4 linked regions of the Drosophila melanogaster genome follow. The protein of the gene in region 1 interacts with the protein of each later gene in a pairwise test. Each region holds a gene or a part of one and is shown in the gene's direction. Other genes may lie near its edges.

What was found.
Region 2: the proteins of SdhA (region 1) and CG15136 interact in a two-hybrid assay, tested with the Drosophila melanogaster proteins (one large-scale study listed by BioGRID).
Region 3: the proteins of SdhA (region 1) and Nha2 interact in a two-hybrid assay, tested with the Drosophila melanogaster proteins (one large-scale study listed by BioGRID).
Region 4: the proteins of SdhA (region 1) and MtnA interact in a two-hybrid assay, tested with the Drosophila melanogaster proteins (one large-scale study listed by BioGRID).

What each region holds. Positions count from the first base shown.
Region 1 is NT_033778.4:19,389,386-19,399,025, reverse strand, and holds SdhA (succinate dehydrogenase, subunit A (flavoprotein)), read left to right. Parts: upstream 1-3,054; 5' UTR 3,055-3,161; exon of another isoform or gene 3,162-3,248; 5' UTR 3,249-3,282; coding exon 3,283-3,339; intron 3,340-4,582; coding exon 4,583-6,180; intron 6,181-6,236; coding exon 6,237-6,387; intron 6,388-6,447; coding exon 6,448-6,627; 3' UTR 6,628-7,163; downstream 7,164-9,640. Other genes in the region: cer (crammer), read left to right, coding at 2,364-2,402, 2,464-2,664; CG11257 (uncharacterized protein), read right to left, coding at 7,183-7,480, 7,536-8,845. UniProt on the Drosophila melanogaster protein: Flavoprotein (FP) subunit of succinate dehydrogenase (SDH) that is involved in complex II of the mitochondrial electron transport chain and is responsible for transferring electrons from succinate to ubiquinone (coenzyme Q).
Region 2 is NT_033779.5:17,044,806-17,051,181, reverse strand, and holds CG15136 (uncharacterized protein), read left to right. Parts: upstream 1-2,900; 5' UTR 2,901-3,053; intron 3,054-3,113; exon of another isoform or gene 3,114-3,116; 5' UTR 3,117-3,200; coding exon 3,201-3,411; intron 3,412-3,572; coding exon 3,573-3,934; 3' UTR 3,935-4,021; downstream 4,022-6,376.
Region 3 is NT_033777.3:22,993,732-23,001,871, reverse strand, and holds the start of Nha2 (Na[+]/H[+] hydrogen antiporter 2), read left to right. Parts: upstream 1-3,343; 5' UTR 3,344-3,691; coding exon 3,692-3,707; intron 3,708-4,086; exon of another isoform or gene 4,087-4,088; coding exon 4,089-4,358; exon of another isoform or gene 4,359-5,418; intron 5,419-8,140. Other genes in the region: CG34375 (uncharacterized protein), read left to right, coding at 291-1,420.
Region 4 is NT_033777.3:9,781,843-9,788,401, reverse strand, and holds MtnA (metallothionein A), read left to right. Parts: upstream 1-4,031; 5' UTR 4,032-4,156; coding exon 4,157-4,178; intron 4,179-4,442; coding exon 4,443-4,543; 3' UTR 4,544-4,995; downstream 4,996-6,559. Other genes in the region: CG8500 (uncharacterized protein), read right to left, coding at 1,545-1,817, 1,954-2,025, 2,082-2,267, 2,325-2,495; CG12947 (uncharacterized protein), read right to left, coding at 5,645-5,862, 5,922-6,116, 6,175-6,559. UniProt on the Drosophila melanogaster protein: This protein binds cations of several transition elements. It is thought to be involved in detoxification processes.

The sequences.
Region 1 (9,640 bases):
GTAAGTACATCCGAACTGATCCTGCGATCCAAGATCTACGGATCTCTTCTTCAACTCGAACACTCACAAGCAGTAAGCTGGGTGGTAAGCGATTAGCAAGTAGAGTTGCTACATCGACAAGACAACCAGTTTTAAACAACATCATCATGCATTGAGCTAACCTCATTTGATTTACTAACCGAAGCGCAACCGATATTCTCACTGCAAATTTCTATTACGGTTCCAGGATGTCTCCACGGACGGATCCCCCAAGAAAGACAAGAAGAAGAAGAAGGGTCTGCGCACACCATCGTTTTTGAAAAAGAAGAAGGAGAAGAAGAAGGCCGAGGCCTAAGCTGACCATCAGCGTGATCCGTAGGAGTAGCAATCTTGACCAACCTCCCACCATCAGCGGGAACCGAGAAAAATAACGACAATGATACCACGAGAAAATGGAAACTTTAGCCAGATCAGCAAAAGAAGCATTATATAAAAAAAAGAGAGAGGCCTAAACAAGCAACGGATGAGCAGCTAAAATCGATCGAGATGCATCTAAGGGGAAATCCCCCTCACCCTCCCTTAATTCGCATTCACAGCTTATATCTATTATAATATAATTCTAATTTTTAATTTATACGATGGCCACGGCAACACACCCTCCCCTCCACACACACACACACACAGAGAGAGATAAATGCAATTCACACAACAATTTGTATGATAAACGAGAATGAGGTTTGCAGGTGTACACGCAATATCCGACACCGCCGCTTTGTCCTAAACAAGTAACTTGCAAATATCTTCTAGATGTATTAGCTTATAAAATAACTACGCAACACACCTTACTACATGATGACATGGTAAAGCAAATGAACAGATAAAAAAGGGTACAAATTCCCAGGCAACTCTAACGACAAACAAAGATTTGTTTGAAACAAAGGCAAACTTTTGTTTTTAGACACATACGTACAAGCGTGGTACATGCATAATACTTAAATGCAATATTTTTTTAGAAATGCAATAAATTCGATGACAACAACTACAATTTGATATTCTAGGCATGTGTGTGTTTTGTGAAAGCGCGTTTTATGTTTTTGTGTTCTTTTGTTTTGTTTTTAAATTCCGGGCAGCCACAATTTGCACACAAAACGAATAAATAATTATTGTATACATGCAGCAATTGTATTAGTTTTTTATATAAATAATTATATATTTTTATGTACGTAAAACTGTTTATACATACATATACATATATATATTTATAAAAACCAATAAATTATGAAGAAAACGAAAATCCAAAAATACACCACGCCCGCATTAAAACATGCGATTACTCTGAGGAAAGCAGAAACAACACAATCACTGAGAATGGTTGGAATTTTCCAAAAATTATCTCCAAGAATCAAATTTCAGCATTTCTTTTGTAAGTAGATGTGCTTGATTTGTAATCGCTTTTCCATTTATAATATTCAAATCGATGAATAACGAATACTGCAATTAACTATATACGACTGCCATAGCATGTAAAACTTTAAGGCACAACTTAAACGCATTTACATTTCAAATTAACTGACATAAAATTAAAACCCCGATGATTAATGCCAGATAAATCGAATGTTTCTGCTTTTCCTACCCAAACCCACCACCACATTGAAAACACTCTCTTTACAACATAATACTTGCATTGCTGAGCCTTAGACAAACAAACAAACAAAAAAAAAAAACGGCAAAATATAAAGTATAATTAAACTGATTATTTGCGCAACGACAGAAGCTTATTTCTAGCAACTTTTTTGCGTCATTAAGGCGAAAAAGTCTGTATAATTTTGTCCTTAGATTAACATTAGAAATATGTCAATATTCTCACTCTGTGCAAATAATAAAAAAACTTTTGAAAAAAGCAAACGAGAAGCCGAAAGTTTATTCATAAAATTTGTTTAGAGTGTAAGAAAATGCATATAAATATATATTTAAATTCGTATTATACACAAGAAAAAACACGACACACACGAAGAAGTAAACACGTAATAAATAAAAACTTGAAAATTGTACAAAATTCAAAAGTATTTGAAAAGAGGTTTTTTTTATTTGTATTTATTTTTTGAGTAGTCATTCCAAAAAATGTAACAATGGTTTTGCATTAAATGTTTATAATGTTTGAGAATTTAGCATATGATTTAAATCGAATTTGAATAGTATCCGGTTTTCATAAACGAGGGCCCACTGTTATTTATGTTTGTTTTTCACCGAAGTGGCATCTCTGATCAGCTGCATATATTATCGTTTCTTTGTTGTGTTTATATGTTGTGACTCAGTGCGAAACCGTGATAAAACCTGAGAATTGAAACGAAATTTAGTCGGTCACCAAAATTACAAGTGTCAAGATGTCCCTGGTTTCAGATGAGGAGTGGGTGGAGTACAAGGTAGGCCCAATATGTCCTAGCAAGCGACGCAATATTTAGAAATCACTTGATTCCACCATAGTCCAAGTTCGACAAGAACTACGAGGCAGAGGAGGATCTGATGCGTCGTAGAATCTACGCCGAGTCCAAAGCCCGGATTGAGGAACACAATCGGAAGTTCGAGAAGGGCGAAGTGACTTGGAAAATGGGAATTAATCATTTGGCTGATCTCACGCCTGAGGAATTTGCCCAGCGTTGTGGCAAAAAGGTGCCGCCAAATTAACAGAATCTCAAGTGAATCTCATTTTAAATAGACATTTTGTAAAGACACTAATCTCTCTGTAATTCTATAAATATGCATTTGAATTTTTAAATCTTTATCGTTCAACCACCCCCAAATAAACAATAAATCAGCTGTTTTGTACATTTTAAAGATTTTGGGATTTTTGTGTTCTGGCCACTTTGGCTGGGAGAAAAACAGTTCATTAGGTTTTGGTTCAATGAACGAAGGTTTATTTATCTCTACGATATATGCAAATAAATACGTACGGCTGAGATGGTAAAATTCCATTCCAAAAATATGTATGCTTGTACGCGGTATCTATATACATTTTGAACTTAAAGCGGATTAACGCCTTTCTGCGATGAACTAGTTCCGGTTCAGCGTTCATTGAGCGAGTCAGTGAACCGAACTGCAGTGCCGACGAGCGGCAGTTCACACACAACATTTGAAAGTTTGTAAACTTTTCCTTTTTCGATCACATAGACACATCGATACACGTAGTTATTTGTTTTTATTTTGTACCAACACCAAACACCCCATCTTACAAGCGCGTAAAACCTCGTTTTCGGTCCAATCTCTTGCAGAATCTTGCAGTAGAACCTCACAGCCCAGCCAAACATGTCCGGAATCATGCGTGTGCCATCGATTTTGGCCAAAAATGCAGTCGCCTCCATGGTAAGTAGTCCCCATTTTGGAAGTGAAAACCCAGGCTCCTCTGTGGCAAACGAAATGATTTAAGAGTGGTTATACAACCGGGTCTACACAGAACCCAGCCAGCCAGCTCGTGATGTGACAACAGAAAAAGACCAACGAATTGGCCAAAAACGCGCCACCCGTACTTGTGTTATGTAATTTGTGAGCAAATTGTGGGACACAGGTGCATTAAATTATTCCCTTTGCTAGATTATATTAATTTTCATATAGCGAATATCATTCCAAGCAAGTGTTCAGCAATTTTGCGGATTTTATAGTGGAAAGCTAGGTGTGCACCAGCGAGGTTATGTTATGCTGCCGCCCCGCCCCCTTCATCCATGCTCTCCTGCATCGACGATATCGTGCATTTGGGCATTTCGTGCAACAAAATGCAGTTGAAACACTTGGTTTTGGATGCACGACACGCCTTGAAAAGCTTTATAAGTACCGCTTAATCGGAAGATTCACAAAAGAGAGGATAGTAGTATATAGTAAATCAAATGATTGGCAAGCGGAGAGAGCAAGCGAGAGAGAGAGAGAGATGGAGGCACGTCACAGAACTAACAGCTGATTATACAATGGAGCTAATTGATCGCCGTGCTGATCTACCCCGCCCCCTTCCACCAAAAAACCCCGGCCGAAAAATGCCAGTTCAATTATTTCATTTGTTTATTACATAAGCAGTTATCACTGCAAGTCGCTCTTTCTGTTTTTATCAACTTATCTTGCCGACGTCACCAAAAGATACTATCTCAACTTGTATCTACACCTTTTTTTTGCATTTAAATTTAACTAACGGCCGAAAGTTTAGTTGCAACAACGTTTTGTGCACTTTCCGGTCTTAATTTTTTGGAATTTTCTGATAAGATAACACTAAGCTATTTCAGATACGTAAATAATGTGGGTATTCGTGAAACTGAAAATTTCTATTTAATTAATAGATATTGAGAAAACATTCCCTTTAAGAAATGACAACACAGGCAGTAATCTTTAAGTCTGAGTTTACGTAATTTTTTTCGCAAACGATTGTGAATTATCGTTGAATGACTAAAGCAAACAATAAGTTGATAGCTTTATTGACAACCCCGGCTTTCAACTCTGAAAATATTTTAATCTATAGATCCATTTTCTATATTTATTGCTTTGGGGATATATTTGACTTATTTTTCATGGAATATGATCCAATCCAATATGATATTTATTTATCCCAATTTATATCTTGCAGCAACGTGCCGCAGCCGTTGGAGTGCAGCGCAGTTACCACATCACACACGGCCGCCAGCAGGCCTCGGCGGCGAATCCGGACAAGATATCGAAGCAGTACCCGGTGGTGGATCACGCCTACGATGCGATCGTCGTGGGAGCAGGAGGAGCCGGCTTGCGGGCGGCTTTTGGCCTGGTGGCTGAGGGATTTCGCACGGCGGTGATCACCAAGCTTTTCCCCACCCGCTCGCACACGATCGCCGCCCAGGGCGGTATCAATGCCGCTCTCGGCAACATGGAGGAGGACGACTGGAAGTGGCACATGTACGACACGGTCAAGGGCTCCGATTGGCTGGGCGACCAGGATGCCATCCACTACATGACCCGCGAGGCGCCCAAGGCTGTCATTGAGCTGGAGAACTACGGCATGCCCTTCTCGCGTACCCAGGACGGTAAGATCTACCAGCGCGCCTTCGGTGGACAGAGTCTGAAGTTCGGCAAGGGCGGACAGGCCCATCGCTGCTGTGCTGTGGCTGATCGTACTGGTCACTCGCTGCTGCACACGCTATACGGTCAATCGCTGAGCTACGACTGCAACTACTTTGTGGAGTACTTTGCCCTGGATCTGATCTTCGAGGACGGCGAGTGCCGTGGTGTGCTGGCCCTGAACCTGGAGGATGGCACACTGCACCGATTCCGCGCTAAGAACACGGTCATTGCCACCGGTGGATATGGACGAGCATTCTTCTCCTGCACCTCGGCGCACACATGTACCGGTGACGGTACTGCTATGGTTGCACGCCAGGGACTGCCCTCTCAGGATCTGGAGTTCGTGCAGTTCCATCCTACTGGCATCTACGGCGCCGGATGTCTCATCACCGAGGGCTGCCGCGGTGAGGGTGGTTACCTGATCAACGGTAATGGTGAGCGCTTCATGGAGCGCTATGCTCCTGTGGCCAAGGATCTGGCCTCTCGCGACGTCGTCTCGCGGTCGATGACCATCGAGATCATGGAGGGTCGTGGCGCTGGACCCGAGAAGGATCACGTGTACCTGCAACTGCACCACTTGCCGCCCAAGCAGCTCGCGGAGCGTCTGCCTGGCATCTCCGAGACCGCCATGATCTTCGCCGGTGTTGATGTGACCCGTGAGCCCATCCCCGTGTTGCCCACCGTGCATTACAACATGGGCGGTGTGCCGACTAACTATCGCGGCCAGGTAATCACCATTGACAAGGATGGCAAGGATGTGATTGTGCCGGGACTGTATGCCGCTGGTGAGGCTGCTTCCAGCTCGGTGCATGGTGCCAACCGTCTGGGTGCCAACTCTCTGCTGGATCTGGTGGTCTTCGGACGTGCATGCGCCAAGACCATCGCCGAGCTGAATAAGCCTGGTGCACCGGCTCCCACCCTCAAGGAAAACGCTGGCGAGGCCTCTGTTGCTAACCTCGATAAGCTGCGCCATGCCAACGGCCAGATCACCACCGCCGATCTGCGTCTGAAGATGCAGAAGACCATGCAGCATCATGCTGCTGTGTTCCGCGATGGCCCCATCCTGCAGGACGGTGTGAACAAGATGAAGGAGATCTACAAGCAGTTCAAGGACATCAAGGTTGTCGATAGGTGAATATAAAAACAAGTATTTTTTTGATTCCCTCTAACATTCCTTGACTTTAAAGGTCGCTTATCTGGAACTCCGATCTGGTGGAGACGCTGGAGCTGCAGAATCTGTTGGCCAATGCCCAGATGACTATTGTGAGCGCTGAGGCGCGCAAGGAATCGCGAGGTGCCCACGCCCGCGAGGACTTCAAGGTTCGCGAGGATGAATACGTAAGTTACTGTCGGCACTCAGCCCCTGAACTTCTTATCATGGAACAACATGTATTGCAGGATTTCAGCAAGCCCCTGGATGGTCAGCAGAAGAAGCCCATGGATCAGCACTGGCGCAAGCACACGCTCTCGTGGGTGTGCAATGACAACGGAGACATTACGCTGGACTACAGAAACGTGATCGATACCACGCTGGACAACGAAGTCTCTACTGTTCCACCAGCGATTCGCTCCTATTAAATCAAGACTTGGAGTTGCAGAACACCCGCATATACACCCCATACCATCACTCGTACGGATGTCTACTTAAACGTCTTTGTGGGCGCCAGTAAATAAATTTTGTCAAATCGCCAAATGAGCCGCAATATGCTACCAATTGGTAACTGGGAACTCGGCAGCGGTTCCGGGCATTTTGTGATGAAACGTAAATCCAGATTTTCTATACACCTATAAATCTTTCAAATCCTTATTACTACTCCGCTGATTCTACTTAGTTTCACTGTAAGCTGCCCTCCATTTGGTTACTGTTTGGTTGTCGGTTATTTACATTATTACATAAGCGAAAAATGTGTGTGAGTAGACAACGAGTTAGGTCTGAGGCGATATTGACTACGCAGCCTGTTTAGAAGCAAATGAAAACAAATCCAACTACACTTTTCTAGTATTTGTTAAACTTATTAAATTATTAAAACGAAAACGTGTAAAAACAATAAAAAAAGAACAAAAGTCGAAACGTTTGCTATACATTAAATAAATGTAATGAAGATTAAGTGCGCAACTAAATGACTTCTTCACTTAGCCGCGGAATACGTGAATTTGATTGGCCTTAACATCCAGTTGACTCAAAATATCTAAGGCAGCGGTATTGAATCCACTTGGTCCGCAAATGAGCACATAAGTACATCTTTCCGGTTGATTTTTCTGGAACAAAGGGGCTAGCAGCTCCAGCGCTATTCTTTGTGGATTATCCTCCGATTGGGAGACATAATTTGTGCAGCTGAATCTTTCGTCGTCGGTGTGTAGTTCATGGAGTTTCTCCTTTAACCAGATATCCTCATTGGTTTTGTTAAAGTACAATAATTGTAAGCTTTCACTGTAAATGTGGGAAATAAGTAAGTTTTTTTCGGGACTGATTTTTAAGAACTTACATTCGGTTTGTATTTCTCTTCAAGATGGGCTGAATTAGGCTCAGAATTGGCGTTAATCCGCTTCCCGCCGCTAGGAGTAGAATATTTCTATGTGCAGTGAGATCAGAGAGCTGGAAGGATCCACGTGGCGCACTCCAATGGACGCGAGATCCAGTTTCAAGCTTTTGCAGGTGACTGGAGACGGGTCCGTTCGGATACCTTTTGATCAGAAAGTGTAAGCATTCTGATCTGGATGATCTGATGTTCTCCAAACGTAGATAGGTGTGATCCACTGGTGTGTAGCTGCGCTGAATTACCCGTCCCTCTAGTGGGACTTCTATATCCACATGGTAACCAGCCGGCAGGACCATCAGAACCTTCTGCCCAACACTTTGCAGACATAGTTCAAAGGAGTCGTGATTGAAATCTTTGCTGTGAACTACTTCATACTCGAAAGTTTCATCATGTAATCGGCTAGAGTCTAATCTGTTGGACACATGTGTTCCATACGTTGGCCATGGTTCCGCTTCCTCCTTGACAAAAACTAACTCAATTTTCCCCGTCTCCGAACCGATTTTCGCTAACTTTGGAGGCCATTCTACATTGTTGGTCAGTTGAAAATCAAAGCTGTGCCAATTGTGCTGGACTAGAACCCGCACACTCAGTTGCTGGAGGTCCTTCCGCCGGACAACCAGGCCTGGATTAGCCAGGCTGCGCGTGTAGAAGATCAGGGTAAGTTCGCTCCTCTGCTGAATCCAATCAAAGCGTGGCACTATTTCCGGAGGCTGCAATATCACATTGGTAATCTGTGGACTTTCCTTGGCAGGTTTTGTCTCATTATCTTTTAGTGGTCCCACGTAGCACTTTCCCAACAATTGTGGATAGTTCACCCACGCGTGCACCTCATCGAACAATTTGGTGGCATCGCGACCAACACCACGCATTAGCTCATCCACTCCGCCCGGATGAAAGTCCATGTAGCGGGTGACATTGAAGACACGACCACGAATGGCCATCCAGGCGTCGTCGATCTTGTTGTGCCGGGCCAATTCCGTTCGCGACACGGGCACCAGACGCCCTCCGGTTCCCGATAGATCCGCTCCAGAATTGCACAGCCGTATCCAGTTCATCAGGGAGTAGCCCGGCTTTAGGGCGCACTTGTTGCGCGGATTACCAGTGGCCGATCCAGAAGCGGATGATCCATTGGAGTTCAGCTTCTGTGGCGCAGTGACGGGCAACTGCAGGCCACCGCCGGATCCCGCAGGAGCCATCAATTGGGGTGGCCTCAGCGGTTGGTTACTGGCGGGTGGTTTAAGGGACGGATCGGACATGATTAGTCCAAGAAAAAGGTAATCGCGCAAAAATCAACAAGCTGTTTAGTGAGGAGTAGTGGAAGGCGAAACAGCTGTATTTTGCTTTTGGTTTCGAGAACCAGTTGCGAAGTCCAAATGAACTAGTTCCACGGATCTTGGCGGTTCTATTTAAAAATGCCACCATATAGCTTCTTTAAAGAACACTCCATTGGAGTGGGTTTAGGTTGAAAATAAATAAAAGTTTATAAGTAACTCTTACAGTAAATGATTATTGTAATCTGTTTAAATATTCTTAGATAGATAAATTTTTTTTTAATAAGATGATGGATTTACTGAAGCATTAGCTTTCCACTTGAACAACAAGCAATATTACTCTTTAAAATTTGTCGTTGAATTTTCCATAAATGAAATATTACCTAAATATTTATAACAAGAAATTTTAAATTTATTTTAATTTAATTTATTTTAACGCTTTTTTATGCTTTTAAATTTAAATTGAAATAATTGAAACTAATTAAACCATCGACGTTGGATCATAGTGCATTAACAAATTTAATTGATACCTATATCTGCGACAGTTTCTCACGCCTTTTTTTTTTTGAAACCGATAAGGAATCTTTATGATTTCAGACCCACCGCAACCAAATTGCTGTTACTGATTATATGGCTAACCGCCTGAGTGGCGTTAAAGGCCGTTTATGAGGTGCTATAATTCTTGATGAACTAACTAAATGTTTTTATGGCACTTAAAAATTGGGAACCACCCACTTTAATTTCTTCATGTGTGTGAGCACAAAGCATAGGTGAGACTTA
Region 2 (6,376 bases), on another chromosome or scaffold:
ATGTGGCCAGGACGATGGTTTGGGGTGTGAAGAGGAGTGCAAGGGGACAGGTGAAATTTGCTGCCGACTGGCCATGCATGCAAATGCAACATTTGCAACTGTTTGAGTCGCTGTTTTCTCTTCCTATACCCTAACAGCAGGAGTTTTAATCTTTTAAAGCCATCTTCATTTTAATAGCCTTTAAAGTGATTTAAATATATGTATAATTGTTTTAAACCTTCTTTTTAATATTTTCCAAAGTTTATAGTGCCGTTTTTAAAATTAGTTTTTTTTTAGGTAAGAGTGGTTTCTGCTTCGGTTATAGAGACTTTTCTAGCTTTTCTTGTTTTTGCAGTTGCTTTCGCCAACAAGGTGGCAACACTGACACCAAGCAACGACACCAGCAACCCTGCTGCAACAGCAAAAACATGTGGCAAGACTACACCAACAACCGGCAGTAATTTGGACACCTTGTCTATGTGTGTTTGCTTAGGCGGGCGATAAAAAATATGGGAAGTCGGAAAAGCGGGTCTAACGGACCAAATGAACATCTAGGGAAAACGTGGGTAAAGGGTTAAAAGCAAATATGAGAGTCTAGACTATATTTGGATGCATGACAAAAAAACCTAAATAATATTCAATATTTCATTTCTAATAGTACGTTCAATTCGTTTAAATGTTAGTTTCCAAGAAATTGTTCACACAGAAGAAAAGCTATTTGCAGTATAATTGGTATAAAAACGAATTTCTATTTCATAATTGAGCTCAAGACACTTACAGCCTAATGAAATTTATTTATGCAATTTAACAAATAAAAAAATAACCCCTTTTGGCCTTCCTAATCAAGTTTGTCAACGATTTAACGCACATCAATTAAAGCCGCTCAAAGATGGAACGCTTAATGATGGCCTTTGTTTTCATCACTCTCCATGGCCAGTCATTCGACCAGTCAGTTAGTCAGTCAGTTTGTCTATCTGCTGTCCCTTTATATATATTATTGCGGATATGTATGTCTGTCCCTGTGGGGCTTCCCGGCAGTGCTGCTGATTTTATACATTCAAATTAGTTCGCTTTGCACGAGTGGCCCTCGAATGAGAGAGAGTACTGCTGTGATATTTCCCGACCACGGCTGACTGGCCAGGCAACCAAGCAACCCGTCGGAACACGGCACAACCGCTCCAATGCCACTACAGCATACATACATACACAAAGATATATGTATATACATATATATATGGAGGGGGTCCGGATTGGGGGGCTATCAAGTTGCCTGTGAAGTGCTTATCCTCAAATCAGTGACACTTGAATGTGCAGCCCATGTGACTGACCAAGTGGGTGACTGACTGACTGCTGAGCGACCAGAGCTGTCATCTTGGCTACTTTCCCTTCACAAATAATATAATGTAATATAATACAATTTAATATTATTCGTTTTTATATTAACGGTTTATATCTGAGGCATATTCTGACATGACTTCTTCATTCAAAGCTGAATAAAAGATATGATACGTTACTCCTTCAAGGGAAATACGCCAACACTGAGCAGCAACTTTACAAAAGTGCGAAGACTTCGTTTCATCTATTTACTTTGCCCTTCGACCACCGCTTGCCATTTGAATCTGAAACTGTCCAACAATTTGAGTGTTGTTTGTGTCCCTGATTGAGTAGCTAAATAAACTTTGGCCTTTTATTTAATTTAACGGATTTATGACTGTCGAAGATAATTGTCAAATGGCTTAATAGTGTTATTGAAACAGGAAGAACTACATGGTATTTTTTTACACAAAATGTATAGAATAAGAAGTCAAAAAAAAAAAAAACATCCCTTCAGAAACTAACAAATTAGTCGGACTAAACCTATAAGCTGAAAAACCTTGTCTATTCCACAAAATGGCCAATAAATTAGCGCAAGTAATTTGCGCAATTAACTAAAAACAGTTAAAACCGCTATTTGTTCGGTTAGCGAAATCGCTCGATACAGCAGCGCGAATGCAATGAATTGGCAATAAATTCTCGGTTCTCGGTTGAAACTTTCTCTAACCCCTTTCTCTTTATTTTATTCGATTGTGTGGGTGTGTCGGCAGAGTCAACTAATTTATGTTTTAACACACTCGCACATGCAAATTAGCACACACACAAAATGAATGCAAATATTGGGTTCCAAGGGGGCTGAAGCTGCCATAATGAGCTCAAGTTGGGCAAATGGCTGAATGGGTGAATGGGTCTGAGGTTTTCAGGCGTTCTTTGCGGTTCATCTGGCAACAACTGTTGACAAAATGAAATCAATAAATTTTAGCGCAAATCAATTAAAATACACCAGCCAGATTGAATTAGAGTGCTGGGTGCTTTTGGTCTTCTTCTTGTTGGCCAAACGAAAATATTTGTCAATTTGCGGTATTCACAAAATTAAATTTGACACACACGCACCAGCAAGATGGAATGTCAGGATGAGTTTTAGGCAATTTTATCTCACTTTGTGTGAAATTTGTTATAATTTATTTATACGGCTTATTAAAATTATTGTAAGTTCGGCCATTTAATTAAAAGTCAAACTTTATTTGCAACGAGAAAAGCGGAGCAAACATGACAGTTGAAAGTGGAATCAAATTTATGAAATCGAATTATGGCATGCATGGATTTGAAGCAGTTTTCGGGTTAAGCCCCAATAAGATGGATAAACCCATAAATCCTCAAAATAACAATCTAACAGAAATTGAATGGAGGTAAATAACCTTTGACATTTCAAAGAAATTACAAGGAATCGGGACAAAGGAGCATGGTTAACTTACTTTTTTTGAAATAGTTTTCTATTTAATTGAGTTGTACGTTCTGCAATCATAAATTGTGTATGTAAATAATAGTGTAGCTTTAATCGTAGTTGACTTTTCATTACTTATCCAATTAAATTTCAAAGGCCAAGCATTAAAAATAGTAGGAACACAAATTACTTCGTGAAGACAAACGTTGAGAGATAAACACCCTCATAGCAAAAATCGGCCAATACCAAAGTTTTGGCAAAATATTTTGGAAGCGGCTGTCTTTGGTCATTCATTAATATTTGGCACTGAATACCGGTAAGAAAATCAAATAATCAGGTAGTTTGCCCTGCCATAATTGTCAACTGAGCATTTAAGCAGAATAGAAAAGCTACTTGAAATCGTCCGGCCGGAACTCAAATGTAGATTTGAAAAACTATTCAAGTGTTAAGTGCTCTGCTGACCATGTTGAAGGACACCGCCACCGCATCGACCAGCGAACTTGCAGGGGAAGTGGGTGACGCCCATTCGACTCCTGGCAGCTGCCCTCCGCCCGCCGCGGGCGACACGCCCCCCGTCGTTAGCCGACCGCTGGACCGACGCCTAAACCCCAACGCACCTGTGTTTGTGCCCGACTTCAAGGCCAGCCAGGTGGCCAAAAAGCTATTTGATGAGTGTAAGTACGGAAAGGAAATAATGTTTATTTAAAACAATATATATTGTATTTTGAAGCCCTTTATATATATTATGCTTTGACTTGCATAGGTTTTTAGTATTGTGCATTTATTTATTTCTTTTTAATTTCCTGATGGATTTATAAATTTAATACCCATGCAGTATCTACGTACACCCGGTGGAGTACGGCAACCTCGGAGGACATATGCTACGAGCCCCGTTACGAGTCCATCTGGCGTGAGGCCAGCATCCAGCAGCAGCAGGGTCTGCGCCATCCGGGTTTCGTTTACAGCCTGGATCCTGGCGAGGAGGAGGTTGGCGAACTGGAGTTTGACGAAGTCCAGGCCATGAATATCGGAGCCGAGTCCTATGATCCCAAGCTAGGAAGCACATCAGTTAGCCAGGCAATGGAAGTTCGCGAAACTGTGGGTGATGTGGAGGAACCTTTAGATGAGGAAAAAAGGAATGGCTTTCAGAATCGCCACTCCGCCAGACCGGCCAAAAAGTGCTGTCTGGTCATGTAGGTCCCACGGAATGGCAAATTTATATATTTATTTTCCATTTGTTTTCACACCTACATGCAACTCAGTAAATTGCTTCCTTACTCTCTCAATTTGTGTATTTTTTTCCTATACCATAGGTGCTTATAAGGGATTTCCCTTTTAGTAAGTAATTACATTTTTTCTGAATTTAATACGCTTCCAGCGCGAAGAATTAAATTCTACAGGTATTTTCCAACGTCGTTGCAATTAAGACGCTTTTCAGAACTTTCTAAATGCACTCCTTTCAAGCCCACTTACGGCAGACTGGAAGAAAGGAAGCTCCGTGGAGAAAGGTCGACTATACCTATGACATAATTTATAGCCTACATTTTAGCGCCCTAAACGGGTTTGTTTTACTTTCCACGAAGGCTCTTGCCTTTCTGCCTTCAGCTACTTTGTCCTGACTTTCTAATGATGTTGAATATGCATGAAAACTTTTGCCGCACGCAGAATTCTCCTCGCTGGATGGCAGCTGAAAGCTTGATTCACCTGTCTATGGGTAGCATGGCAGCAGGACTGCCTTCAGATTTAACTACCACTGAAAATAGTACGGGCTTAAATAACTAATTTTTAAACTCAATAAAATAACATGTGGAATTTAAAAAACACCTTCACTTTCAAATACGAGTGGCTATGCAAATTAAATTTTCATTTAAACTAGCGTTTTTTTACTCGTCCAAATAAAGTTCGAACATTTTCTTAGACTGCACACTTTTGCATTGTCTGTTAGCAAAGTGGCGACAACTTTTCATTTTTTTCGTTTCTTGATTATTTTAGTTTTACTCAATTTTTGGATAAGGAAGGAAAACTCATAAGGCGTTTGGGTGCTGGAGTGTGTGTCTAGTAATGAGAAAACTTTCGTGTCCTTGCAATGTCTCATTTAGAGCTGTCCGTACCCCGATGTCTGATGTCCCGAGCCACGGATAACGCAGCTGCCCACGACTTTTGAATGATAAGCGCGGCGAAAAGGACACGCAGTGCAGTCCCATCTGCAGCTGCACAAATGCTTGGCGGAAACAATTACCAACTCGTATGCAAAAGTGCCAAATTGCCAATGGAGCTTCTCCATGGGCGAAACTTTCACGCCGCTCAATGTCAGCGGGACATGTGAGCAAAAGGAGTCGAATGGAGGTGCCGGACCATACACCTGGGCCCCCCAATTTTTGGTCCTTTGGCAAGGATTCGCTTGGCAATTTTGTGCCAATTTTCTGCGCCTTCTGTTTGTTTATGAAACAAGTCACGTAAGCGACGAAACCCGTTCGCTCCTTTTGCCCTTTTTGGGCGCGTTGAACTGGCAGCTGGCTAAGTGGGCGTGCCATCACCTTGTTTTTGCCACTATTACTCTCCCCGTTGTTGTTGTTTCGCCCTGGGGCGATTGTCATTGGAATCGAGAATTCAGCAATTGGCAAACGTCACGAAAGCGGCTAAAACTTTTCACGATCTTTCGCGCCCTTTTGCCTGATTGTTGATTTGGCAATCTTTTGTTTTAGCCCGTTTTCGACTGCAACTTTGTCCTTTTTTCCGAGCCTTTTTGTTGGCTTGTTTTAGGTTGCTATTTATTGCATAAAATTTATGCCCGTATATTGTGCAATTGAAAAAGTTTGTCATATTTCTGTGATTTTCCGCCCTTATCGTCGTCTGAAGGACAGTACGTTTCGAAAATATAAGTACTTTGCAACAAGAATATTACGATTCAAGAAATTGTAGTGTTCACTTATTTATTTTTCATTATATATGATAAACATTATATATAATAACATTCCCATTGCGTAACGCACGGTATGGGACTCTCATGAAATGTTAAAATCAGGAGAAACCAAAGCCGCTGGCATAAACCATTATTTATGCATCGATTTCAAATCACCAAAACAAAACAGAACGGATTGGGCCAGAAAAAGAAAGTCCCAAATAAACACAATGACAAAACGGAAGGCGGCAAATAAATAGACAACACAGGAATATGGGCAAACAATGCCTGCAATAAATATCCACACATAAGTGCAGTGCACACAGTCGGGTTGTCTTTATGCACCTATAAATAAATTCATTTTGTGATATTTATGCCACGATATGGCAACGGCTAAAATGGCAATCAGTTCAATGACCAACAAAAGTTTGTCTTGTCTTGCAGTTTTTAGTATTGGCTAAGTATCCTGTGTGATTTTTAGGTATCTTAGGCCATTTGAATTCAAACAATATACCTTAAAAATAATTTATTACCAAAAATCGATCGAACTGGTTTAAATAAGATTTTTAATATTAATAAACTATTTGTCAAGATAATAAAAATTGGGATTATATGTACACAGCATTACATTCTTAGATAATCGATAGTTTTTCAAGGCTTATTTGCCTCACAAGCCCAACAGATTTTGTAGGATACTTTTCCTGCCTGTTTTCGAAGGGACTTTTCCCTCGGTCCTT
Region 3 (8,140 bases), on another chromosome or scaffold:
CATTAAGTGTGCATTCTTTATGATTCGCCCGGATTCACCCATAGTTCAGCCATAGTTCAACCATTTTTATACAGATGCAGGTACGCGGATATTTACTTAGTTTCTGCTCTATTTTCATTTGCCACTTGAAGAAGTTCAAGGGAGTTTGTGTCAAGGGATTTGGGGGCAAAACACAAACGAGCGCAAATGGACAACTTGCGTGCATATCCATCCAGTTGTCCCAGTTGTATTTATTATATTTACATTTCGTACTTTTTGTAATGGTCCTCCGTTTCGGTGCCTCTTTTCAGGGAAAACCAACAAGGTGGCTGCCTCCCAGGGCCATGGAAAGCTGAGCAGCGTCAACAAGTGCACAAATGAATATCATAATCAACCGAAAATGGCGCTGGCGAAGACGAGTTCCGGCAAGTCCAAGTGCGGCAAGCAAATCTCCAGGCAACTCGAAACAGTTTTGGTGGACCAAAGTCCTCGGGAAATCAGAAGAAAGAGTCAGCAGGGGCAGGAGCAGGAGCAGGCGGTGCAGGAGGCTGTCCTGCCACGTTGCACGCTGATAAAAGTGCAGCATCAGGAGGCCGCTGTCGAGCACTTTTCGGAGGAAGGTCACAACAATATGCTCGTTAAACCAAAGTTAAAGTTGAGTAAGAAAAGTTGGCGGATTACTGGGCCAGATCAAGACGGATTGCGCTGCGATGAAGTTGCCACCATAAATAATGGTGTCCAGGTGCAGGAGCAACAGCAGCAGCAGGAGCGGCAGCAGCTGGGGCATGAGAAGTCAGCAAGCAGCGAGAGCGAGTATCAAAATTATCATTGCCCAACTGGGAAATCATGCAGCAGCCACAGTTACCAACTTGGCCAGCCAGTGGCCAACAAATTGTCAACAGTCGCGATGCAGGCGCTGGCGGTGGTTGAGAACTCGGGAGGTGCATCCTTATCAGCGGGGAGCCATAAACAGGCGCCGGCAGCCGGAGTAAATCAGGAGCTGCCACTGGAGGCGGGGTCAATAGGTCGGCGGGAATGGCAGTTGTTGCGACATTTGAGCGGCGACCACCGGCTGGCAGTGTTGCAAATCTACGGCACGTTCGGCGAACGCTTGCACGTCCGCCCCCAGCTGCCCCTGGAGGGCGTGGCCTGCCTGCGGCTGAGCGAGGAGTCCTCCACTTTTGGCCACGTCAGAGTGCACACATTTTTCTTGGCTGTCATTGCGATCGGCGGCGGCGATGAGCACGCCGTCTTCCTGTGGCACCTAGACCACCTGCCACATGGACCCACTTTCGAGACTGTCATCGAGACTCCGGGCCACCGATTCCTGGGACCTGCTCACTCGCTCCGGTGCAGCTGGCCGGAGATTAGGGCATCCGGCCAGTTCCTCACCCTCCGCAATCTGGCTGCCAAGTGCGAGGTGACCATCAAAAGCAGGTAGACCCCATCATGCACCCAAGACTGGTCCCAAAACATAGGTATTCTAAGCTAATTAGCAGGTAGTAATCGTGTTTAAGAGCTTTGAGGCAAGTTTAAGAACTGATGGCTGCGAAAGCGGCGATAGAGCAAACCAAAATGCAATGAACATAAAATAAGAATAAAATGTGAAATGTATGCTTTGTAAATTATATTTGCATTTTTTCCATCGACCGCGTATTTATACGAAAAATGCAAAACGCAATTTGGAAATGTGTTTAATTTGCAATATTTTTAATTAATAAAAACATTTAGAAATGTGCTGGCCTGGCAGTTTGAAAGTCCTCGCCATTGAGTGTCCACGTTGAGCTCAACAACCTGCAGATGCTCTATAAGAGTAGCGAGCTAAATTAATGGTTTGTATGGTACTTTAATGAAAAACAAAATAAATCTTTCTGCGCCATATGCGATTCTTTTGGAATATCATGACCCATTTCAAGAGTATCTCCATTAGTCCTTGCATCCTTATGGCGGAATAATAACACCAATGTTTGTGCAAAAGAAATTGAAAAACTGAAAACTGAAAACTCAAAACAGAAAACTGAATACTGAAAACTGGTAACTAGCGCCTGTCTGTTTGCTGCCTCCTGATAATTGACTTGCATGCAAATTAATGTTTTTTGCATGTGGGCGTAAATTGCTGCCCTGTCTGACAAACAGTAAACACGGTCAATGCAGCGGCGAGTCATTTTCATCAACGCGCCGCTGCACTATACATAAATCTCTGCCCCATCGATGTTTACCATATTTAAGGAAAAAATTCCAATTTGATGCAACAAAAATCACGGCACTGTAACAACATGTGTGTGCGTGGCAAATAGAGCGAGAAAGTTGTATTATCCTTTTTGCAGCGCCCCGCACCTCACAATGTCCTGTTTTTTTTGAGCCATCATCATAGTCATCATCATCGTCGTCATAATGGCCATCTTATAGAGTGAGAGTGCAACTGCAACTCCATACAGTGCAAAAAAGTGTGTGTGCATAGTTAAAATAAATTAAATATTTTCGCAAACGACACTTTTTTTGCGCAACAACGTGTGGCACCTGATGAGGAGATGATCTGACTGGAGCACTGGATAATGGTGGTGACGTCACTGCGATTGGTTATCTTTGTCATGGGGCTGGTTTGTCCATCAGGTAAATTAAAAATATTCCAGCGAAGCAATTAAATTACAGCCACGGCGTGGGAGTGGCCACGGCGCCCAATATGATGAGCAACGTCAAAATGCAAATTGTCAGAAAAACAATTTGCAAGACAAGCGAAACTCTTTTTACTTCAAGGAAATATAATTGCTTTCCAAGCTCACAAAAATTAATAATTAATAATAAAAACAATATAAGGTAGTTTTTTTTTTAATACCATGTAAACGCAGCTGGCAAACTAAAGCGCCATCTATGGCACAGAATTGCCGCCCCAATGATAGAGCTCAAATGGGGCAGGTCGCGCACATTTCCCTAAAAAAAAGTGAAAGCGTTTAATCATTCCGACACTCACACATGGGAAATGCGCTATGATTAGAGGTCTATTAATAACGCGGCTATTCGGCGCCTTATCTAGTTCAGATAAATTATGATTACATGACAATTATTTATCAGCTAATTGGCTGCGCCTTAGAAAACTATGGGCATATTGAATCGCAGATAAACGAACCCCTTATAAATATGTAAGTGCTTCCAAACAGACCCCACCCCCACCCCTCATTTCACCCAACCCAGAAACCAACTCATTCCGCACTTTTCGCTCGACAGCAATGAAAACAGAAGGTTCGCCTTCCGCAGAGCTTGTTTGTTTGCCAATTAGTTTTAATCGAAGAGCGCTCGCTGGAGCTGCGCGAATCGGCAATTGCTTGTTTAAATGGCTTTTGCTTTTCTAATTAATGCGTTTGGCAAATATTTGCCAGTGCATGAGCTGTAATAAAAAGAAGCTCCAAGTGCTCAAGTTCCGGGGCTACTACACTATTTCATTCCGCCTTTCCGCCGGTCGTGTCGCGCGTGTTCCGTTCCCTGCATATACTATACTATATACTATATATCCACTCGATTCGCAGCTAACCAATCTCTTCAAACCGCGGCGTTTCTCTTTGGCACTCGTCAATTTTGAGCCAAGAATAGCCATTTGGACTACGTCATCGTACTGATTGCGTCAGCAGTTGTCGCTCTTTGGCATTATTTTCCGCGTTTTTTTCACTCAATCACTCAGTTTTGTTTTGTTCTCTGGATTTCGCCGACATTCGACATGAGCAGCGATTCCGGTAAGCGATTCTGGCAGCTTTCGATACTCACTTTCGGCGTTAATTTACGAGTTTATGGTTAATCAATTAAATGCCACTTTTTGCCCAAGTGCCAATAAATAAATCGTGTGCAAATATGTTCGGGCTTCCACAAGTCAAATTGTTGGGAAATTAACTCTTTTATTTATATACTTGGGACTGGAAAATAAGAATGGTAGAATGGAATTATCAATATTTTTTGTTTGATTAGCAACCCTTCGGCTTTATCTATCATGCGTAATTAAAAATGTTACCAAATAGCTTGAGTCAATTTTTTTTGTGGGAAAAAAGTATGAATATAAAGCGATTTTAATTTTAATATCATACAAATTAATTTATATATATATATATATTTTTTTTTAGATATATTGGATGTAGTGGCAGGCAGTGAGGGTCCACCCTTGCAAGCCTTTCGCAGCAGCAATCCCTTCGAGGACTCGTATCAAATGTCCTCCTGCCAGCAAGATTTCGAACGCGATCGTGATGCGAACTTGACTCCATTGCATATGCTGCGTCGAGCCAGCGAAACGGTGACCGCCAGCATCCTGGAGCCGGAAAAGGAGCACCTCCTTGGCGACAAGCCACAGGTGCCCCCTCGTGCCCATGGAAGCACCGCGCCAAGCGCCATCGAAGGTGAGTGATATGTTTAATTGCACCGCGTCGTCATGGGGAAATTCGAAAAATGCGGAACGAAAGTATTTGTTACGGAAATTCTTGCCTTTATGCAACCAGCTCCCCGGATCAGTGTGCACACAACCCGCAGACAGGACGGCAAAAAGGATGCTGAAGACAGAGACATCCAGTGGAACAGCTCCATGCCAACGCTTTGTTGGCCAGCCAAGCGAAGTGGCTCCGACAGCCAAGTGCACAATGCGTGCTCAGATATGCACATATGCACTTCAGCACATATACGAGTATTCATAGTTTGTTTATGCAAAGTTTTTGTTTCGCCGTCGAGATATCCTGGCAGAATCACAGCTTTTTCTCTCAACTGGCAGGAGCTGATTGAGGCATTTCGATTTTAAGTGAACCGCACAATCACATCTTGCACAAGATGGCGAAGGCGGGCGGGGGACACAGGGGCGTATACGTAATATTTCCGCATATTGACGACAGAGTGTCTGCGATTGACAGTCCAGTGCATCTACCGTCCCGGCTCAAACTCAAAGGCAGGCATTTCCTACACATTCCTTCTGATTTCTGGAAATATGCAAGGCTGTGCCCTGCTGGCCATGTGTGTGGACCACTTTCGTTGGCCGAGCTTTTTGTTTACGCTCCTCTGTTTTGGCAGGTGGCCCTTGCTGGTTTTTCGCCCACAGCCGAGTAGCTAGTATTTTTGAAACTCCCAGAGCAGCAATTGTTTTGCATCTGTTCAAATGCGGGTTTTCGCACCAGTCCATTGTACAACTTTTTGGGAGAATTGGGGAGAACTTCCCTTTGGGCCATCGCAATTGTGGCATTTTCACACGAATAATGAGCCAGTTTAGTTGCGCCCAAATGCCCGCAATCATACAACTAACACGAGTGGCAAAAGCCCGCGGCTCTCGGCAAAGTATGTTCCCATGAATATGCATTAACCGGGGCTCATTTCCTGTGCATTCATTTCGCATTTGCTATTCGCTTTCACATTCGGAGTGCACCACTGATTCTGATTCAGATTCCGATTCCGATTCCGATGCCCGTTTCCATTTCGCGTCTGACTCTGATTTGACTGTGGAAGTCATATTTAAATAAGTTTGCGCACCGCTGCAGGCAGCACTAATGCTCGCATGTGCAGGCACTCGTTTATATTAAATAAATTCCATTTAAATGCAGCGTTTGGGGCAATTCCTCAAGCTCAACCTTGAATGGCACAGCCCTACCATCCACCTGCCCCATCCACATTTCACCTGTCGCTTCTGCTTGTGAGTGAAACGGTGACATTTCTGTTAACTAAAGCCAACATGATATACGCTTGGCACACAAACATGCACTCGTCTATTGATAAATGCAGTGCATTGCGCATTCGCCTCATGCGCCTGTGTGTGTGTGTGTGCAAGTCAGTTCATTACGTATACGCAGTGTGCGACATTTATAAATGCCAGCTAGACTGTGACTCAGCATAATGATTGCCAAATGAATGGTAGAATGTTAACCGTCACGAAAACCCTTTCGACGCCATTTCAATTGGCGCTGGTGCGTTTCGCAGCTGTGTTGGCCCACTTTGGAGGCTTGAATACTTTGGCTAAATCTGAAGGATTTGCAGGCACTTGCACTTGCGCCACAGCTAATTACTAAAACTGCACTTAGTCGCCCCTCCCGCACTTAACCTTTGACCACCTGTCAGACTTTGGCTGCTTATTTGCCGAGCTGCAACGGGGGTTTTTTTTTTCAATTTGTCTCTGGCTCTTTTATTTACCAGCATGGCGCTGAATGGCGCTTTGTGACCTCATTTCTCTACCATTTTTATATAGTTTACCAGCCCGGAGCCAAGAAAGTGCCAGTTTCCACTGATTTGCGATGTATGAGCACTAAATTCGATGCGAATCGCTGGGGCGTGAGTTCATCTCTTGGCAGGAAGTGCGTGACAACGGAATGCAATCTTCTTCCACGCAAAGAAATTATTTTCCGAATGCGCGCTGCATGTGGAGTTGCAAGTCGGCATCAGGATTCAGGACGCGGCAAGGATGCCGGCTGGCATAGTTAAAAGGTGGTACGCTTAAGTAAACATAAATAAAATAAATGTGTTCTGAGTACGGGAAAAGTGATTTGATATATAAGTACGCCCCAGACGCAGAAAGAGTTTCAGACTTCAGACAGCAGGAACTCCGGGCTCCTTGGCGTGGAAGAGCACGGAATAAGGAGAATAAGGACTTCTGTCATCAGCGAGCGCAATTTTCCGTTTAAACATATTGAAAAAGCACCTAACGTTCGCCTGTAAATAATGAATAGTTGAATAACTGATATAAATTACTGGGGATACACATTCAGTAGACCGTCTTGCCGAGCACTTTTTATGGCACTTTTAGCTGAAAAAACAATCTAAATGTTAAGTGACAGCAAAAAAAAACTTCGTTCAACTTTGAGCAGAACTATAAATTCTCCATCCTTAGACCTAAGTGAACTTTTTCAAAGTTGTTTAGTTTTCGGGCCGACGTCGTCTGGAAAAGTGTTTGCCTCGCTTCCAATTAACACCTCAGATTCGCACTCGTACGCAATAGTCCGCACATGACAAGCGGATGACAAAAACTTTGCAGATGCAGCTGCAACTGTAACTGGAGCTCCATGGATATGGCCATTACTTTTTTCCATCAGCACATTCTGCGAAGGAGTCCTGCTCCGGCTCCTGCTGCGCTTCTTGCGACCAGTGGCATAATTTGTGTGGAAACTTCTTGGGCAATTGAAAAGCGAAATGCGAAATGCGAAAGGCATCGCAGTGCCTTGGCTTAAAATAACTTTTGCATTATTTTCGTGCCTGGTCACTTGAAAGTTGCAGAAAATATGACAAGATAAAATGCCAAAAAAGTGCCCCGGGCAAAGTGGGCGGATGGGATTGGTGCAGTGATAGGGGGGCGTGGTCGTGGCCCCGGAAACTGCCAAAGGTAATAATCAATGGGGCGGCGTCCAATGAAGCCTTAATGACCTGCCCAACTTGCAGTTCAAGTTGGCTCAACGGCTTCCCCTTTTTCTCGAGTGCAGCGCATGAATGTGAAATATGAAATATCACAGCAGCGGCAGGACCTCCGAAAGTGCTGCCTTACAATACCTGAACGCTATCTTCGCCGACACCTTTGCACAATTTATGCACCATTTTTTTTTTTTTTGCCAGGCAGCTATGGAAAAAAATAGTAAAAGTAAGTGCCGCAAAAACTTTTAAATGAGGCACATAATTCAAAAAGATGGAGAAGAAATCTTGCCTCTGTTATCATTTCATTCCCTTCCACTTTCCCCTCACCCGAGCGCCATTTCAGTTTCGGTTTTTTAGGGGCGGGTAGATATTTTAAATTAATTAGCAAAACTTAAATATTTGTTGTAGTTCAAACGCGAACTTTGCATTGAACTGGTAAATAATCAATAAGCTCGCAGCCATAATCAACTCAACCGAAATCCAACTGAACCGAGAGTTTAGCCCCTCTGAAATGGCAAATATTTGCAGGGCGTACATAAGTTTCCCTATTGGTTATGGCTAATTAATTGATAAGCAAATGCTTTGGGCCAAATAAGTGTTTATGTTGCAAGGCGGGTCGGGATTAGAAATTTCCCAGCTACTGCAATCGCCGTCTGCCCCCCAAAGATTACAACTCAATGTGATGTATGTGGGAAACATCATAATCGCGATCGGTTTATCATAATTAGCACCTGCGTTCCGATCCAGGGTTCCATCTAATAATCCCATATGTTCTCGTTATCACACAATCTCTCTCTCTCTCAGTTTG
Region 4 (6,559 bases), on another chromosome or scaffold:
TGCTGGACGGCGGACCAGCAGCCAAAGTTACCAGTTTGATGAGCAACATCATAATTAATGTAATTACATGCCCCTCTATTTGGCTAATTGGTATAGCAGCGTTTAAAGCATATCATTCACTTAGTCCGATTGGTAAAATTTAAAAAAACTTATCCTCTTAATATCAAACAACAGCAAACTATGCGAAACAATTTGTTCAACTCCTACGCCTACGACTCTACGCACAAGCCAACTAACTATTTAAATAACGAATACCACAATTGGGAACGGTCTGTGTTATGTTATACGTACGTACGATACATCCATCCATACATACATATAGATAGATAGGTAGGTGTTTTAAAAACAGGCAACTTATATCCCATCTACGCTACTGCAAAAAGTGCACCATATGCTCTTCAAATATCCTTCGATGTACGCGTTACTTGGCTCACACGATGAATGCGAATGCAATTGTACTTAAACGTGATTCTGACTTAGGCTAACTCTCTGACTGATCGATCTGGCTACTACTGAGAAAGTTCAAGCTGCTCAATAAAGTTCAGCAAATAAGTGTAAAATTGTACATACATATTTAATATAATACAAAAAACACAATGCCATTGCGAATTTCTTCTTTCATCTGTTTTACGGACTGTGGGCTGTCGGTGTTGTTGGCCTTGAGTATTTTATACATTAGCTTATATGGCGATCGGGGCGAATCGTCCGAATCGGTATTATTCTGGTTAGGTGGTAAATAGTTAAACAGCAATGATAGTCAGGGGGAGGCATCGGCCATTTTCGGCCAATTGCGGCCACTTCCGTTTCCGGTTGCCTCGCGATGCTCTCTATGTGGCGATCACGGAGAAGTCTTACGTTGATGGATCCATGTAAATATTTTGTTATCATATCGTAGTAGATACAGATTCTATGTCTTTAAGTAGGTACTTTGGCTTTCATTAGAGATATTAGTGTATAGCTTCGTTCGATTTCGTTTCGATATCTGGTTATGGAATGGCTGATGGATCATGCAGTATGTATGTAAGTATGTAAACATTTGATATGTATGCCGTTACGTTTCAGATGCGATTATGTGCAAACTTAGGGTTAGTTTCCGTGGTGTGTTTGGATTAGTATATATGTATATATGTATGCAGTACGTGGTATCGTGTCTCTGTGCGACTAGAAAGATCTGATCGGCTCGAATAGAATATATAACCTATGCAAAATATACTCGTAATCGTAATTGCAATCGTGGTGCGACTTATCCAGTCAGTTCCTAAATACAAGTGTCTCGTTATGCATGTAACTCTATATGTGGATAAAGTGGGGATTGTGTGTGGTATGTGGTATGGTGTAAGTGGTGTGTGCGGTGCGTGGTGTGGTGTGGTGTGGCGTGGCCCGTGTGGGTGGCTACCTAAGCCAGCAACCCCCCACCCAAGGGTGCTGCCCCAAGGCGAGTATTTGTCTGTCACCGTCGTCTCCGTTCACTTCAGCTCGACGCAATGTGACCCGGGTCACATGGCCATGCCATCTGGCCATCTGGCTCTTTGGCCATCCGATGCTTACATAACGCGACACTTCTCCTTGGCCCCGCCGCTGGCGCTGGCCCCCGCATCGCCGTTCTCCGGTATCGAGCCGTTCGTGTCCTTGGACTTCTTCTCCTTCTTCTGCTTCTTCTGCTTCTTGGTGTCCAGTTGCAGGGAGACGGTGCGCGTCTTCTCCATGTTGAGCAGCTCCTGAAACAGCTCGGTCACATTGTGGTTCGTCTTGGCCGACGTCTCCATGAACGATATGCTCCAGGTGGTCGCCTGGGCCTGACCCTCCGCTTGGGAGACCTGTGGATGGCACATTTGGATTAGAGGTTTTCTTAAAGAGATGATTTTTCTGTTTAAAATCCCCCTTGAAGATTGTAACTTAGATCTTAGATTAAGCATGTATGTATATGACGGATCAGATGGAACATCCTCTAACCTCTCGCAACTCGGCGGTCTCATCACACTTGTTGCCCACCAACATTACGGGTATGTTGGGAATGTCGGCGCCCTGTGGACACACAACGTATTAGTACATGAGAAATGATTGTCAGGCAGTGGACCAACCTTCAGCTCCTTGATAAGCGCCCAGATGGGTCGCAGCTCCTCCAGACTCTGCTTGGAGCACACCGAGTAGACCAGGATGAAGGCGTGCCCCTTCGAGATGGACAGCCTCTGCATAGCCGGGAATTGATGCGATCCCGTGGTGTCCGTGATTTGCAGCGTGCAGATGTTCTTGTTGCAGCTTATGACCTGTGCGAAGACCAGCGGATTATGTGAGTAATCTCTAGCACCAGGCGTCCCACCCACCTGTCTGTACGTATCCTCGATTGTTGGGATGTAGCTTTCGCGGAACGTGCCCTTTATGAAGCGCAGCACCAGTGAGCTCTTGCCCACGCCGCCGGCTCCAAAAACCACCACGCGGTAATCGTTGCTCTGCTCCGGTGCAGCGCGCGTCACCTGATTCTTCTGCTCCGTCATCCCGGTTACCGATACGGATTCGAGTGGGTCGAACGCGGTCGCGTATATCAAACTCGGAGTGGAAATCGGAATAGAGAGAAGCAGGAGCTGAAGCTTGTTGGCTTGCTGTCGGGCGCTGGTGGAATGTTCTACTTGGGCGCCATGCTTTCGTTTATCTGCAACAATTAAGAGCAAATCAGCTTGGCCACAACGCCCACGCACGCACAACCTTTCCGGTTCGCCAGTTGGTGGATGTGGGTGGTAGGGACGTGATGGGCGTGGGCGTGGGTGGCACTACCACTTTAGGGTCCCGCAACAAAAACAAAATGCGAAAGAAAGTTAACTTCCGAAAGCCGATGGTGATATACACTAGTAGGCATGTTAACACACTTTATTAGTTGAATTGGTTTTAAAATGTATATTCCTTTACACTAAAAAACTCTAAGAACCTTTTAAATTGATAATGAGTTGATTATATTATATATGATTCTATTATATAAACCCGCATAACTCCTTGGTTGACTTACAACTTCCTTATCAAAGTTGATAGAACTCCTTTTTAATAGTATATTTAATAACGGCAAACAATGTGTGTGAGAGTATCCCGCTAATTTTAGACATGTGGCAAGGAAGGGTATTGATTTTTCGCTCCACTGGCACTGATCGGCACCAGCCTCTCCTCATCATTATCGCCACGATTATGATTGCCCATGACCGGGTGCGGTATAAATAGGCCTGCTTTGAAGACAAGTGTCCCATTCGGAACGGTTTTCTATCCCATCCGCCCCCAAACACACACACACACACACAATACACACTAGCCGTAACTGCTCACTTCCGCTTGATTGTCCTGGTGGACCCGTGTGACACCTTTGGCCCGCCCCCTTCAACCGACTCGCCTTGCGATTTTCCGACGTTTTGTTTTCCCGCACACTCGTTGTTTTGTATGTGTTTTTTTTTCCACCTCGTACACCTCACGCGCTTTGCTCTTGGATTTTCCTCGCTTTATTTTGGCTTGGATTTATCGATTTTATCTGCACTGCACTTGCCACCCACACGCGAGAATCGAGGGAAAAGCCAGTAATGGCCACCGCATCCATATACCCGTTAATTGGGATGGCCCCAAAGGATCTGTGGGAGTCCCAACTATTGCGTAGCAGTATTTACTTGCATTTCGTTGCACTGGAATTCGTTGCAGGACAGGATGTGGTGCCCGATGTGACTAGCTCTTTGCTGCAGGCCGTCCTATCCTCTGGTTCCGATAAGAGACCCAGAACTCCGGCCCCCCACCGCCCACCGCCACCCCCATACATATGTGGTACGCAAGTAAGAGTGCCTGCGCATGCCCCATGTGCCCCACCAAGAGCTTTGCATCCCATACAAGTCCCCAAAGTGGAGAACCGAACCAATTCTTCGCGGGCAGAACAAAAGCTTCTGCACACGTCTCCACTCGAATTTGGAGCCGGCCGGCGTGTGCAAAAGAGGTGAATCGAACGAAAGACCCGTGTGTAAAGCCGCGTTTCCAAAATGTATAAAACCGAGAGCATCTGGCCAATGTGCATCAGTTGTGGTCAGCAGCAAAATCAAGTGAATCATCTCAGTGCAACTAAAGGCCTAAATAGCCCATACCTACCTTTTTTGTAAACAAGTGAACAAGTTCGAGGAAATACAACTCAATCAAGATGCCTTGCCCATGCGGAAGCGGTAAGTTCGCAGTCTGGTGTGATCCTTTAGGATATCACAGATCTTTCAGAGAAATGGTATTATACTAGTATAAAAATTCAATGGTGATTCAATAGTATAAAAATTCAAGCTGAAACTATCTGCAAAGTGAAATCTCTGAGTTCGTCTCTCTAAGAAAAGAAGTTCTTCAACTGCGTTTTATAAAATGGAACACTAATGTTATATGGCTTATGGATTACAGGATGTACCAGCATGTACTAATTTTTAAATTCTACTTCTTTCCAGGATGCAAATGCGCCAGCCAGGCCACCAAGGGATCCTGCAACTGCGGATCTGACTGCAAGTGCGGCGGCGACAAGAAATCCGCCTGCGGCTGCTCCGAGTGAGCTTTCCCCCAAAAAAGATCTGGAGTAGAGGCGCTGCATCTTGTCTCTCTACACACCCTGCAATAAATGTCCAATTAAAGTAATTGATGCCTAACTGCGTCTTTTCGGGTTGCATAATCAATTGGTCTGCGGCATTCTAGGTTAGATTCGCTTTTATTGGAGGTAGCTTCTAGCTACGTGGTCGGCAATATGCGTCGTGGAAATGGGATGGTCAAGTGTTTTCCACAATGTGCATATACATATGTACATAACACTAAAGTCAGTTGAGCAATATGGTAATCTGAGATGCCTCACTTCTGAAGCGACTGAGGGATTGAGTTTCAAAGCACAGCGGCTTGAACTCATGACTTGTAGATAAAAATACAGTTGCGGGCGTTAGAATATAGCCGCTATCGAATGGATAATATTAAAGAATACTAGCTTTAGAAATAATAAAAATATATTACCCTATCAAATTTAAAACGATTTTAGGCATAACAACGAAATGGGTAATGAAAGTTCATATTTAAATCGGCTTCCATTATTTTATAGGTGATTCATAGAAATATATGATTGTAGACTTATTATTGCTCAGTCTGTTTTGTGAAATGCCTCGTTTATAGCGCAAAAGTGCCATATAGTTTTAGATGTAATATGATCGCGCAATTAACATGAAAGTGTAAGAACCCGGCATATAAACGATATACCAACGAAATAAGTCAAGAACAAGAACCCCACGGCAGTCGGGTGAAGTGACCTAGGAGGCGTAGGGTTACGGGAGACCTCCACCTCAGACCTCCAGTGGAAAAGCCGCAGATGGAGTTTATGGTTCGTATACATACATATATACTTTATTTACTTTGCTAGCCTACGAATGCAGCTTAGGTCTAATACTAGGCTAGGTGAACAATACTTAATGGAGAATTACGAATGGATGGGGTGCGCAGTATACAAAGGTGCATACATATGTATGTCTATGAATGGTATGGGTGTGGGCATATCTTCTTTTTGGTTATCAGCGTGGCCAAACAAACCCGGGCGAGATTTCACGGCGGTTTCGAAATGGTTCTGTCGAAGGTGCTCGACGCACGTTGAAAAATAGTGGGAAATTCACGGTTCGCCCTACTTGATAACGATATTCTGTGCCAGTCGCTTCACGAAGTCCACGTTGAGAAAGTTGGCCATCAGTGTGAGCACGGACTTCTTGGGCGGCCGGCAGTGGCGCAGTCCCGCCTCCTGGCAGCACACATTCGGAAAGCAATCCAAGGTGGAGGTGCACGCCTTGGGATGAAGGTCAAAGATGGGCGGCGGCGGGGCTGTGCACTCCAGGTACTCTGTAACTGGAAAAGCGCAAGGCTTCGATTGATTTCGGTTATCATACGGAAAACTTTTAACTTACGATAGTCGAAGGATCGCTTCACTGGCACTGGAGCTGTTTCCAACTCCGGCTGCGAGGTGCGGCAGTATCTCCTACGCCCATCCGGGCAACAGACCCTTGGCCAGCAGTCCATGTCTGTGGAGCACTCCTGGACGTCCCACCAGAGCTCGGCGAGCGGTCTACTCGGGCACTTGCGAGGTATCAAGCCCAGAATGGCTAGCAAGAGCAATAAATTGAATAATATCTATAGCAGCTAAGGATTAAACCCACTTACGAGCATGTGGAGTCTCCTCTAGCGGCTTTGGAACGCCAGAGACACAGCTGCTTGCTCCAAAGATATCACAGCACAGCTCATCCCGTTGCCACACGGCACAGTCTCGATCCGCCTTGCAGATCTTGGGGAATAGCTGGAACCTCACCTCGTTCTCCCGCGGACAATCGAACCTCAAGCGCAGCTCGGCAGCCGACCTCTTGCCCTTCTCCGTTTCCCTATCCCTGTTCTTATCCTGGTTGTCGCGTGGGAAGTTCAAGGTGGGCAGTGCAATGCGAAAGGGTCCATCTGTAGTGGGTTTTTGTGTGCTAGTTGTTGTTGCGCTTCGACTAGTTGTACTCGTTCTCTGATCCATCGGTTTCCTAGTGGTCTTGGCCACTTTTCGTTG